2 linked regions of the Stegostoma tigrinum genome follow. The protein of the gene in region 1 purifies or fractionates together with the protein of each later gene. This does not show direct contact. Links are inferred from orthologs where the notes say so. Each region holds a gene or a part of one and is shown on either strand. Other genes may lie near its edges.

What was found.
Region 2: the proteins of map3k2 (region 1) and traf7 purify together in Homo sapiens (affinity purification with mass spectrometry; 3 studies listed by BioGRID and IntAct, with this or other methods). This does not show direct contact. The link is inferred for Stegostoma tigrinum from reciprocal best matches to the Homo sapiens genes MAP3K2 and TRAF7.

The regions. Positions count from the first base shown.
Region 1 is NC_081360.1:103,957,876-103,965,293, reverse strand, and holds the start of map3k2 (mitogen-activated protein kinase kinase kinase 2), read left to right. Parts: upstream 1-4,284; 5' UTR 4,285-4,487; intron 4,488-7,418. UniProt on the Homo sapiens protein: Component of a protein kinase signal transduction cascade. Regulates the JNK and ERK5 pathways by phosphorylating and activating MAP2K5 and MAP2K7. Plays a role in caveolae kiss-and-run dynamics.
Region 2 is NC_081376.1:38,848,380-38,855,624, forward strand, and holds the start of traf7 (E3 ubiquitin-protein ligase TRAF7), read left to right. Parts: upstream 1-4,119; 5' UTR 4,120-4,211; exon of another isoform or gene 4,212-4,235; intron 4,236-7,245. UniProt on the Homo sapiens protein: E3 ubiquitin and SUMO-protein ligase that plays a role in different biological processes such as innate immunity, inflammation or apoptosis. Potentiates MAP3K3-mediated activation of JUN/AP1 and DDIT3 transcriptional regulators.

The sequences.
Region 1 (7,418 bases):
GAGTGGAGTTGAAACCAGGATAAGATCAGCCATGATCATGTTAAATAGCATAGCAGGCTTGAAGGGCTGAACCTCCTATTCCTGCTCCTAATTTCTATGTTCCTCTGTTCTCTCCTAAGTCTTGGTCAATATTTATCCCTCAGCCAATGTCACTGGTCGTGATCTTGTTACTGTTTAGTTTTTGTGCACAAATCCATTCCATGTCCTGTGTCACGGTAATTCCTTCAAAAAACCCTTCATTGGGTACAGTGCATTCAATGACATCCTTGGACATGAAATGCATTTTACATATGCAAACTCCTCTTTCATGCAGTAGGGGTCAAAATTGTAAAAAGTGATGATGTGGAGGTGCCAGTGTTGGACTGGGGTGGACAAGATCAGAAATCACACAACACCAGGTTGTCATCCAACAGGTTTATTTGAAAACACAAGCTTCTGGAGCCTCAGATAATAAAATGTGAGGCTGGATAAACACAGCAGGCCCAGCAGCATCTCAGGAGCACAAAAGCTGACGTTTCGGGTCTAGATCCAAGGGTCTAGGCCCGAAATGTCAGCTTTTGTGCTCCTGAGATGCTGCTGGGCCTGCTGTGTTCATCCAGCCTCATATTTTATTATCTTGGATTCTCCAGCATCTGCAGTTCCCATTATCTCTTCTGGAGCCTCAGTCCTTCTTCAGATGTTAGTGCACATTCAAAGGGCACTGGGAACTGGATTTGCTTCTCTCAGGCACACATACTTGACACCTTCACAACACCCCTGCTGTTAGTTCAGCAACTTCCACCACAGAGCCTACTACCACTTAGCAGATAACTAGTTCATTATCACAGGGTTGTTTGCGGCAGGGTGCTGAGATCAAACTGGTTGCTGCACCTCCCAGATTGCAACTGCATTTCTAAACATTAATTTCTAGTTATCTGTAGCTAATCTTGAATGAAATTAATGTACGTTTTAAAGCAAATACCAAGGACATCCAAGAAAAATATGATCTTTTAAAAACTGTCCCTTGGTAGAATAGAACATGAATATTCTGTAGACAGTGGCATTTTGCTTCAGCTTTTCGCCTGTACTGATAAAGAGTGTCAAATTTGAAATGAGCTGAACAATTTACATTAAGAGAGAAAGTATGCTGATTATTAGGGTCAAGATACAGACACAGAATCAAATCAGCCTTTCTACCTCTGTATTTGCAACACAGTAAAATTAAACCATCAGAGGTGCCCAATAGTTACTCCAATGGTTCCTAACCAGACAATTCAATAATCAATCCCAGACTTTGTCAATAATTAATTTCAGACACTGTTTTTGCATCACAAACAAGAAATTTAACCCTTAGTACATACACAATAGCTACAACAGAAAAAAATACTTAAACAACAACATAATCAGATTAATATCTATGCTTTAAACCCGAAACATTTGTTATCATTTACACAGAAGACAGACATACAAAAAAACACAATTAAAGGATTTTGAAAGAAAATAATGGAACTGGCCAGATTAGTTAAACAGCTTTCACAATGTGTTATACTGTCAGAGAGATGTACAACATGGAAATAAGACACTTTGGAACAACTCATCCATGCTGACCAAATTAATCTAGTCCCATTTACCAGCAAGTTGTCCATATCCCTCCAAACCCTTCCTATTCATTTACACATCCAGAGGCTTTTCACAAGTTGTAATTGTACCACACTCCACCACTTCCTCTGGCAGCCCATTCCATTCACGCACCACCCTCCGCACAGAAGTTATCCCTTACGTCCTTTTTCAATCTTTCCCATCTCACCTTAAACATATGTACTCAAAGATTTGGATTTACCCATCCCAGGGGAAAAACATCAGCTATTCATCCTCCATGCCCCTCATGATTTTATAAATCCCTGTAGGTCAGCCCTCAGCCTCCGACAGTTTCACAGGCATAGATGTGGAGAGCTTGGTTGCTTTTCAGGAATAATCAATCAGGGTCACCTTCTCAGCTCATTCAGGAAAAGGTGGTAATGCTTCTAATACATCTTTCTAATCTCTGGGCTTCCAAAAGCTGGTCTGGGAGATTAGGCAGGGTCTTTACAATTTGACATGCTGCTTCATACTAGCCAAGCTCATTTCCTTCAGATAACACAATTCAAAAACAACTCCAACTCCAGTTCCTCCCTAACAGGGGGAATCTATAAGCTTGAAGCTGAAAAAACACAGCAGGTCAGACAGCATCAAAGGAGCAGGAAAGTCAATATATCAAGGTTAAACTGTTTGTCAGGACCTGACGAAAAGTTTCGACCCAAAACATTGATTTTCTGGCTCCTCTGATGCTGTCTGTCCTGCTGTGTTTCTCCAGCCTCACAGCTTTGGACTCTGTAGTCTTTATCGTTTCCTCCCCAATAGACTGTCCGTTCCCAAGGCCTCAATTACATTTCAACATCTGCCATCTGTTTGGACATCGAGTCTCTTCCAGACCTGCTGGAACCAACTCCCAGGTACAAACCTCATTAATAGCCAACTTCAGCTATCTGTTTACATACAATCAGAGATTATGGGAACTGCAGATGCTGGAGAATCCGAGATAATAAAATGTGAGGCTGATGAACACAGCAGGCCAAGCAGCATCTCAGGAGCACAAAAGCTGACGTTTCGGGCCTAGACCCTTCATCAGACCCTCTGAAGGGTCTAGGCCCGAAACGTCAGCTTTTGTGCTCCTGAGATGCTGCTTGGCCTGCTGTGTTCATCCAGCCTCACATTTTATTATCTTGTTTACATACAATTCCTGGATTGCAATGGTTGTAGGAACCCTTTTGGTCAAGAATCAGCTTGTGATCTTCCAGACCTGGCCTGATGAATAAACAAAGGCTTGTTTGATCTGTCCTTTTCCTTCTATCACAAGCTGTTTCACAACATTCACAAGTCATCTTCAGCTCAAGATCAAAACTGATAAAAGAATAAGAAAAATGAAAAAAATCAGCAAGGGTTCCAACAGTAGACAGTTTGACACTGACGGATTGAGGCCTTGCCATGAAGAAAGCACACAAGTTCCCAGGTAATGCAAACAAAAGAAGAATGCAAATCTTAAACATATCCCTTGTGTTTGCAGAGGGTGGGGCTCCACTTTGTGAAGATGAACATTTTTAAAGCTTCAGCAGCTTATTTTCTCATGCAAACTTCTTTGAGACAAACATGAAATTAGAAAGCTTGCAACTGAATACACAAAGGAGAGAAGCAATAAAATACAGGGACTATAGCAGACAGTCATGCCAAGATAGTATCAGAGATAATGGGAACTGCAGATGCTGGAGAATTCCAAGATAATAAAATGTGAGGCTGGATGAACACAGCAGGCCAAGCAGCATCTCAGGAGCACAAAAGCTGACGTTTCAGGCCTAGACCCTTCATCAGAGAGGGGGATGGGGGGAGGGAACTGGAATAAATAGGGAGAGAGGGGGAGGCGGACCGAAGATGGAGAGTAAAGAAGATAGGTGGAGAGAGTGTAGGTGGGGAGGTAGGGAGGGGATAGGTCAGTCCAGGGAAGACGGACAGGTCAAGGAGGTGGGATGAGGTTAGTAGGTAGATGGGTGTGCGGCTTGGGGTGGGAGGAAGGGATGGGTGAGCGGAAGAACCGGTTAGGGAGGCAGAGACAGGTTGGACTGGTTTTGGGATGCAGTGGGTGGGGGGGAAGAGCTGGGCTGGTTGTGTGGTGCAGTGGGGGGAGGGGATGAACTGGGCTGGTTTAGGGATGCAGTAGGGGAAGGGGAGATTTTGAAACTGGTGAAGTTCCACATTGATACCATATGGCTGCAGGGTTCCCAGGCGGAATATGAGTTGCTGTTCCTGCAACCTTCGGGTGGCATCATTGTGGCAGTGCAGGAGGCCCATGATGGACATGTCATCAAGAGAATGGGAGGGGGAGTGGAAATGGTTTGCGACTGGGAGGTGCAGTTGTTTGTTGCGAACTGAGCGGAGGTGTTCTGCAAAGCGGTCCTTTCCTGAGCCCCAAAAGGCAATGCCCAGGAAAAAGATGAACACCACAGCACAAATCAACGTCTAACAAGACATGAGGCAGCCACTGTCTTCATCTATTGTTTCAATGAGATCTAGTTCAGTTCTGTTTAATTCATTGGGGTTAATCCCTGGGTTTCAATAGATTTTCACACCTTCTGGCCCACAGAACCACAAATGCGCAGGCGCAGGCCACTGTTGGCACGCAGGTGCACCGGCCGGGCCCGGCTTCCACGCAGGCGCACTGATGGGACTCAGGTTCGGCGCAGGCGCAGTGGCTGTGCCCCGCTGTGACGCAAGCGCACTCTGCCAGATTCGGGCGCCCCGCGAAGGGAAATTTTTCGTCGGCGCAAAAAAAGGGGAGTTTTTATTTTCCTCCCGGTGCCGGACGTTCCTCCCGGGAGGCAGCGGCGGCAGGAGTAGGAGGACGGAGAGCGGGGGCCAGGCCCGGAATTGACCCGGGAGAGATTCCGCCGCCTGCGGCCTGGATGCTCAGCACTCGGGTAAGAGCAGCGGGGCCTCAGGGTTGAGGAAAGGTTTAAGGCCTTCGGCGAGGGGAAGTGGGGGAATGTGGTGGGGTTGGGGAAGCTCGGAGCCTCGGTAACGGAACGGCGAAGGCGGTGGTCTGTTCTGAAAATAGCCCCCCCCCCCCCCCCCCACCACGATCCCCAACGATTGCGACCTGTGGCCTACCCCCGAGCTTAGTCCTGTTTCTGAGCCTCTCTGGACTCGCTGGGGCAGAACTGTCAGGAACTTGCTGCAGAAACAAAGACAGAACTCTGACCGGCCCCAGGAAACAGCAATGGAGACTTTGCTCCTCCAGCCAGGGCTATAGAACAACATTGTCACTCGATTAAAACACTGGGGCTCAGCGCCGGTAGGGACAGGCCTGTCACTGTATAACACTGGGGTACAGTACCGGTGGGGGACAGGTCTGTCACTGTATAGCACTGGGGCTCAGCGCCGGTGGGGACAGGTCTGTCACTGTATAACACTGGGGTACAGTACCGGTGGGGACAGGTCTGTCTCTGTATAACACTGGGGTACAGCGCCGGTGGGGACAGGTCTGTCACTGTATAACACTGGGGTACAGTACTGGTGGGGACAGGTCTGTCACTGCATAACACTGGGGTACAGTACCGGTGGGGACAGGTCTGTCACTGCATAACACTGGGGTACAGTACCGGTGGGGACAGGTCTGTCACTGAGTAACACTGAGGTACAGTGCCGGTGGGGACAGGTCTGTCACTGTATAACACTGGGGTACAGTACTGGTGGGGACAGGTCTGTCACTGCATAACACTGGGGTACAGTACCGGTGGGGACAGGTCTGTCACTGAGTAACACTGAGGTACAGTACTGGTGGGGACAGGTTTGTCACTGCATAACACTGTGGTACAGTACCGGTGGGGACAGGTCTGTCGCTCTATAACACTGGGGTACATTACCGGTGGGGGACAGGTCTGTCACTGTATAACACTGGGGTACAGTACTGGTGGGGACAGGTCTGTCACTGCATAACACTGGGGTACAGTACCGGTGGGGACAGGTCTGTCACTGCATAACACTGGGGTACAGTACCGGTGGGGACAGGTCTGTCACTGAGTAACACTGAGGTACAGTGCCGGTGGGGACAGGTCTGTCACTGTATAACACTGGGGTACAGTACTGGTGGGGACAGGTCTGTCACTGCATAACACTGGGGTACAGTACCGGTGGGGACAGGTCTGTCACTGAGTAACACTGAGGTACAGTACTGGTGGGGACAGGTTTGTCACTGCATAACACTGTGGTACAGTACCGGTGGGGACAGGTCTGTCGCTCTATAACACTGGGGTACATTACCGGTGGGGACAGGTCTGTCGCTGTATAACACTGGGGTACAGTACCGGTGGGGACAGGTCTGTCGCTCTATAACACTGGGGTACAGCGCCGGTGGGGACGGGTCTGCCGCTGTCTGCCACCGGGGCTCATCGCCGGTGGGGACAGGTCTGTTGCTGTCTAACGCTGGGGCTCAGCGCCGGTGGGGACAGGTCTGCCGCTGTTTAATGATTTAGATTTATTGTCTCATTTTTCACATGTTACATGGAAAGTTTTGCTGTGCTCCAGCATCATCTTGTAACACTGAAAATAATGCAAAGGTTTTACTACAATAGGGCTGATCTCTCTTTCTTCCTGCTTCCCCTCTGCTGCTACTCTGGTTGCTGCTTTACATTGGTCTGAGTCCCTGAAATGGGTTCCTGTGTATCTGTAATGGGCTGTAGGATCTCAGTTGCCTCCATGACTGCTGTATCCAAGTTGTTGCCATGGGCTTAGTGATGTGTGGGTTCTATACCTCCTGTTCCCTATCTGACACTTCTCTAGTCATTGCTGCCAGTCCACTGTCTGTCCCTTTTGTCAATGCTGCCTCTCCTTTGGGTATCCAGACCTAGCTGTGTGCTGGGGTACAGTGGTGGGGAACAGGTTTGTTGCTTTATAATACTGGTGCACAGTATTCGTGGGGCCAGGTCTGTTGCTGTATAACGTGGGTATATTACCAGACAAGACATGTCAGTCCTTGTATAACACTGGTTTACATTATTGATGACAGGTCTGACTTTGTGTAACACTGGGATGTTATAATTTTAACTTATCCAGGAGTGAGGGCCTTTATTTCAAAGGGAATGGAGTATAAAATTAGGGAGGTTTTGCTAAAACTTGAGTCATTGTCAAACCACAGCTGGAGTACTCTGAACAGTTATGGGCCCCTTATCTGAGGAATGATCTACTGGGAATGGAGACAATCTAGAGATGGTTCACTGGATTGATATTAGTTATAGGAACTATCTTATGAAGAAAATTTGAGTAGATTGTGCCTGTACTCATTGGAATTTAGAAGAGTAAGAAGAGACCTTATTGAAACATAGAAGATTCTCAGGAGACTTGACAGGATGGATCCTGTCGAGGAAGATTTTAGGACCAGAGGGCATAATCTCAGAATTGGGGGTTGCACGTATTTCATTGTTCTTTTCAGCGGCACATTTCTGGTCAGACTTTTCTAATCTTGGGTCTGATTCTTTGCTAGTTCTCTTCAATCCCTCCTCTCTGATTAGTCACTCTCCTACATGACAATAGTTGCTTAGTGTCTGCACCATCAAAGCTGCATTACATTACAAGACACCAGGTTATAGTCCGACAGGTTTATTTGAAATCTCAAACTCTCGGAACGCAGCCCCTTCATTAGTTGCAGTGAGAGGAGAGCACATAGACCCCAAGTTAATAGGCAGAGAGATCAAAGGATCATACAACTGGTGTGAGTGAAGTGAACAAACCTAGAATGGCTGGCTGACTGCCTCCTGTTGAATCTTTAATCTTTCATACATTCCTGCATTCTGGAAATTGCAGAAGCAGGGTATGAAGAAAGGAGGTGCAAGTTTTGATTGATTTAAGATGCA
Region 2 (7,245 bases), on another chromosome or scaffold:
ACCATTAGCCTGCTGCAAGTTAATGCTGAAGTGTAATCTGGTTGCTGTACCCAGTGTTCCATCAGTAGTTACTGCTGCACCTGAAGTACAGGTAATTTAAAAAAATTACATTTCTGATCAACCCTCAGACACCACAATGATCAAGCATTTTAATGCATCACCTTCATTAAAAAGTCAGAAAACTGTTCACCATTTGTAAAGTTTAATACATAAATTACTTCTACAAAAAAAGCAGTCTTGTAAACCGTGTTAATGTCTACTAACATTTTCTACACAGGCTACTTTACCTGTGAGCCATACAAGACAGCAAGGACCCATTAGTGATCTGGACCCTGAAATTGCCTCAAGTTCAATTACCTGTCTGCCTTTACAAAGTGTGGTGAAGCTGATGTCGCACCAGGGTGGACACAGTCCAAGGTCACATGACCAGGTTATAGTCCAAGCATAGATGGTGTTATCTGACTTCTGGCTTTTCAAAAGCCCATCCAATCTGCAGTGGTGTCCCCTTTGTATTTTCAAGAATATTGAAAACACAAAAAGTTAATTAAAATTAATCTCAAATAATCATGCATTACTTTAACATAACACCAGATGTCAGAAAGATGCATTTCATACTGAGCATTTGCAAAGTTCTTGAAATTCACTATTTTAAAGTTTGCTTAGTACTTCACACTGGCACTCCGAGCAATGTATTCAGCCATATTAGATTAACTAGAACAAGGGTGCAGTTATCCATTAATTTTTACCTGCTTACTCACACTGTTCTAAGTTTCATGAGACACTGCCAGGAATCCAAGCATTTTTAGTTTGAAGTTATACAAGACTAAGCTAACATTAAACTATTCATTTCAACCGTCTTTCTAATTAAGCCTCAGCCACAAAAATAATAATCAAGCATTGCTTTGATGCAACACTTTCAGTGGAGATGTCAGAAATAAAGAAAGGCTCATCACAGGCTTAGTGGTCATATTTAAACAGCCACAGGCTAAAAATCAATCTTGGCCAATACTTCAACTTGTTCAGAACAAAACATTGCCCACAAACAGTATACAAAAAATAAAATTTACTGTTTTAACAAAGCTATTTTATTGGAAAGAGCAGCAATCCACTAAATCAATTCATACAAGGCAGTGCCTTCTGCCCCACAAGAGGAGTTTTAAGTTAAGCATCTTCTCCAGATGAACTTAACACAGCACCAGTTTACAGGCAGTGTGCTTCCAGGATGAGAGTTTGCTCACTGAGCTGGAAAGTTAGTTTTCAGATGTTTCGTCACTATTCTAGGTAACATCAGTGAGCTTTGTCGGAGGCTCACTGATGTTACCTAGAATGGTGACGAAACGTCTGAAAACTAACCTTCCAGCTCAGCAAGCAAATTCACATTCAGAACCTCAACCTGAGCTACAAATCTTCTCAAAACTCTGCTTCCAATCCATATATACAAGATAGAAAAGCATTAGGTCAATTTTCAGACTCCAGGAAATAACAGCTCTAAGCTAGTGAAGAGTAGTGTCTTAGCAACAGCTTTTAACTTTTCTGGGACAGAAATACCTACATTTCAGATCCCTCTGCTCAACCTCCTACCCCAACAGGATTAAATCCAGCAATATAACTCACCTTCAACATTACATCAGTTTTAACAGAAATGCTGCATGCGTAACAATTCAGTTGATGCATTCCCCCAGTCAGAAAACTGCATACCTAGTGATCATGTAAAATATAAAAAAGTTACACTGCAGTAATGTTGGTGTCATGCACAATTGTTTTCCAAACAATGCTCAATTACAGCACAGTAATAGGCAATGCAGCCCACCAGCTGTTACTATTTCAGCCCTCATGTAGCACTAAATTGACAACTCAAATTTGGGAGAATCAAGAACTGCAGATATATACCTCCCACCCTTTAAAATGAAGGCTCAAATCCAACGGTAATCAAGCATAGTAAATAAGAGTGGTGCATTTCATTAAAGGGTTGACAGACTCAACTGTCTAAGTGCTGCCAGATATGCTGAACTTACCCTGCACGCTGCTCCAAATATCCAACATACAGTTCTTTGATAGTGAAACAAATCAATCCTTGCTCATGCACTTAAGGAATGGATCTGATATCCACCTCAACCACTCACTGCCATAAATTCAGCCTCATGCACCCAAAATGTACAAGCTACTTAATTGCTGCTTATTGTTATTTTATTCTGAAAGTGAGCTCCTGCACTTCCAAAGTTAGCTTTGAAAACTTTTGAACTCTAAAATGTATAGTCACACCTGCCAAATTGATTACATTATTCCCAATGGGGGACCAAGTTGGTAATTTGTTAACTGAAAATACAATGCAAAGTGAAGCAAAATAAACCAAATTTACATTACTGAATTAGAAACATGCACCAGACCCATGCAGAGTGGAATTGTTAACATACAAGGCAATTTCTACAAAGAAACTGTAGACCATCTAGCATTGCCAGAAAATACTGCACCACACAGTCCCTAGTGATCTCTTATCTGGATGTTTAGTGACCTTGTCAGAGTGTGGAGCTGATGAACACAGCAGGCCAAGCAGCATCTTAGGAGCACAAAAGCTGACGTTTTGGACCTAGACCCTTTATCAGAAAAAGCTTTTTTCTCCAGCATCTGCAGTTCCCATTATTTGTCACTAATTGCACAACCTGATTTCAACCAAGCATGGACAACAGAACCAAAGGGGAGACAATAGAGAATTCCCAATGCCACCTTGACTGACTGCAGCATTTATACACAGCAGGCAAAAAATTGAGGGATACAGACTAGCTTCAGGGAGACACGATTAATTTAGAACAGCACCAGGGTTGGTTGAAGAACCTAATTTTCTATGTAGAAAATTCAAAATCAGGAGCAGGCTAAATACAGCGGGTAGGGATAAGTGTTCTGGCTTGTAAACGTGGACAATAAAGTGCTAGCAGATTTACAGTGACCTGAAAAAAGCAGCAAGGAAGATAGAAGTGAACGACCCCTAGGTCAGACATGAGGAAAATCGTGACTCAGGAAGTAGTCGATGCATGAACTGTGCAGCCTGGAGTACGCTAAGGTGGCGGTCACTGGAGACATTCGATACGGGCGTGGGCGACTATTTAAATACAACTAAGACGCGAGAGAGGTTAAAATTGTATCAGTGATAATAGGAACTGCAGATGCTCCAAGATAATAAAATGAGAGGCTGGATGAACACAGCAGGCCCAGCAGCATCTCAGGAGCACAGACCATCTGGCATTGTGCCAGAAAATACTGCACCACACAGTCCCTAATGATCTCTTATCTGCATGTTTAGTGACCTTGTCAGAGTGTGCTCCTGCTGCCTCACATTTTATTATTTAAGAGGCGAGAGAGTGTCTGGGTTACAAACACCGAGGCAAAAAGCGGCTAGTTTGAAGAGCTTAGCAGGCTCCTCTAAAAGACTTCCGGGGTCAGCCCCTTGAGGGGCCGCCAACAAAAGCTGCTTAACAAACGATTGCCCTTTACGATATGGGGCCGACCACCCCATAGCCACTCACAAAGCGCTGAATAAAAGTGAATGCTTCAGATGGAGAGACTACAAATGGACAGCGAGTTGAGGGGTGTGTGAAGGAAACGTTATGAAAGGCCGAATGGAAGATACCGGACACTAACACGTGCTCCCTGCCCCATTTTAAGCACTGCTTTTAAGAAACTGAATTGGTTAAATGCGTGTTGGCTCATTCCCCCGCGAATAATCGACGCTAAAGATTTGTCTGCACCGATTATAAAGGCCAATAATTTATCATTAAGAAAAACCAACCTCCACCAAGACAACGTCCCCACAGAAAGAGGACGAGCCAGCCGCGCGCTCGAAAATATAGAGGGCCCGACTGTCAATCATCCGCAGACCCTGCTGTCTATTGGCCCTACGTTTTAATTGGCGTCTGTTGTAACCAATAGTATCCAGGACTTCGGAATAGTCTGACGGCATGTTACCCAATCCCTGCACGCGGAGGCGGAGCCCGGTCTCGTGGGACGGCGTCCATCGTCTCGCCGCACTGTCTGCAGGGTAATGTAGTCCGGGCGTTCGTCCATCCCTGTAAGGAGCTGTCTCTGCAAACTACAACACCCGGCGTGCTCGGCTGATGCCGCGCATGCGCGATCTCGGGGTCGTCAGTTACTTCCTTGAAATTTCGGTCAGTTGTTAGACGATGGTGTTTGAACATGTCAATCGAAACGGTTTGCGGGTAAGGACCTAAGTTTGGGTGCAGGTAGTTTCTTTTTCCTTTTTCGTTCTGCGTGTGCGGGAGTACTTTTCACACTGTTTATGCAAATAATTGGAGTTACATGTCTGGAAAATAGACCCAGATCTTGGGGGAGGATCTGTCAACACAATCCTCCCGAGAAGTGATTTGTAGAGGAGGAGGGGAGACATGGTCTAGACTGTCCAAGGTCTCTTGATTGATGCCGTTGTCTGCTCCCCTCCCCCCTGATCTCGTCAGTCGGGGGCGAAATTCTGGGCCGTCCACCACCACCATCACCTCTCTGGGTCCTGCCGCCCGCCTCAACACACTCTCCCTTCTTTTGTCAATCGTCAGGGTGCTGATAGCGTGCCAGGCGCCTGGAGTACGTGCCTGAGACACAGAAAAAAAACAGATACCTGTTTGCGCTTGCCGATCAAATATTTGTAACACAGCCGTATGGATTTCATCCCCCCTCACCGCCACAGACGCACACGCACTTTTGCAAGAGGCCTCTGTGACTGGCTCAGTGGTCAGCGCTGCTGTCTCACAGCTCAGGGACTCGTGTTCGATTCCAGCCTCGGGTGACTGTCTGCGTGGACATTCTCCCCAGCGTCTACTCGGGTTTCCTCTGGGTGCTCCAGTTTCTCCCATGGTCCAAAGATGTGCAGTTTAGGTGGATTGGCCATGCTAAATTGTCCATAGTACAGGGGGATGTGTATGTTGGGTGGATTAGCAGTGGTTATAGGATAGGGGTCGAGGTGGGATGCTGTTCAGTGTGGATTCAATGGACCGAAATGGTAGGGATTCTATGAACTGTTTTCTCTTCCCAAGTGGAATTTATGCTCAGGCATCTACCCCTAATCCTAATTCATCTTGCATGTGCAGTACTTTGGAACTTTTCTTCACATTATTAAAGATCATTCAGATGATGCAATTTATGAGATCTACAATACCTGCTTTTGGAGAAGGTGCACTGTGCATGTCTGATGTCCAAACTGTGCATTAACTAGGGAGTTTTCCATTTATTGTATAAAACTTGCTACTCTGGGTAAAAAAAAAGTGAGTGGTGCATGATTTTATATCTTCTAAAATAGCCATATTTGCAAGTTACCACAACAAAAACTAACAAAGCCTAAGGCATTGCTATACTGAGTATACTTCAGAAGTACTTTGTTGGGCGTGAAGTGCTTGTGAACCTCCAGAGCTCATGAAAGGTGCTACATAATGTAAATCTTTCTTTTCATAAAAGTTCTCCACCGGGGGAAGATACTGGTTAATTTTCAGGAATTATCCTCTGGAAGGTAACTGATGAGAGCTTCAATAACTTAAGTATTCTTAATCAGCCGCCTGATCCCGCAATCCCATTCATTGTGCTGCTTGGATTATACCCTCCACAAGTTACCCTGGGTATAGCAGTTAGGAGGTCATGTTGCAACTTCACAGGACATTAGTTAGGCCACTTTCGGAATAATGCATTCAGTTCTGGCCTCCCTACTATAACAAAGATGCTGTGATTGAATGGCTTTACAAAAGGATGTTGCCAGGGTTGGAAGGTTTGAGCTATATGCAGATGCCGAATAGGCTGGGGCTATTTTCCCTGGAGGCTGAGGGGTGACCGTATAGAGGCTTACAAAATCATGGTGGGTATGGATAGGGTGAACAGCCAAGGTCTTTTCTTCCCAGGGTAGGGGAGTCCAAAAATACAGGGCATAGGTTTAGGGTGAGAGGGGAATGATTTGAAAGGAACCTAAGGGGCAACTTTTTCACACAGAGGGTGGTGCATGTATGGAATGAGCTGGCGGAGGAAGTGGTGGACGCTGGTACAATTAAAACATTTAAAAAAGGCATCTATATGAATAGGATGGGTTTATAGGGATATGGGCCAAATGCTAGTAAGTGGGACCAGATTATTTTAGGCTACATGATTGGTGTGGACAAGTTGGACAGAAGGGTCTGTTTCCATGCTGTACATCTCAATGACTGTATGACAAGCTCTGCTGGTTAGTTGGCCACTGTAAATGAGGAATACTGAGATGAGTGCCAGAATTTGGACAGTAAATTTGCCCTTAAAATTACTACATATGGTGGTATAATTGATAATATTATCCAATTCCTTTACAAATAATTGAAAGTTAATTAGTCTGCAAATACAGTATATGAATTTATAGGAAGAAATGTGCTTCTAAAATTTTTTAAAACTTTTTAAAGTGACCACTTAATTATTGCAGTTTCTCTTAATAAAAACAGAAAATGCTGGACAAACTCAGCAGACCTGGCAACATATGCGGACAGAGAAATTGAGCTCGAGGTCTGGCAGCATCTGTGAAGAAAAAAATCAGAGTTAATGTTTCAGGTCTAGTTCTGAGGAAAGGTCACCAGTGGGAAAAAAATCAGAGTTAACAGCATTTCGGGTCCGGTGACCCTCAGAACCAAACCAGCAACATTAACTCTGATGTTTTCATCACAGATGCTGCCGTTCCTGCTGAGCTTTTCCAGCAACTTCTGTTTTTGTTCCTGATTTACAGCATCTGCAGTTCTTTTGGTTTTTTTAAACAGAGAAATTGAGTTAATGGCTCGATTTAACTGTTTTTCTCTCCTCAGCTGCTGCTAGAACTGAGCTTCCATTGCCCTTTCTGTTATTTCAGATTGTCTGCATCTTAAGTATTTTGCTTTTAGTTAGTCTTAATATCTGCATTACAGTGTTAAATCTTCATTGTGAAATGGTGGTAGTCTCTAGGACCTAATTTTTTACTGTGCCATTTATATGCAATTTATTATCATAAATGCTGTTGGCTGAATTGCTAATTCAGTCAAATATTATACTATTATATAATAGTCCTTGGTATATTTAGACTTTCTATCATTTCTTATTATCTCCCTGTCAAAAATGTTAATAAAGTACGCAAGTAAGAGTGACCTCCTAGCTATTGCCATGACATAATTAGTATATTTAATAGTCATAGCTGCCTGTCTTTTATCCATTTTACAGCTTATTCTTTAGCTCTTTTACCTGTAATTCCTTCATAAATTCTTGGTC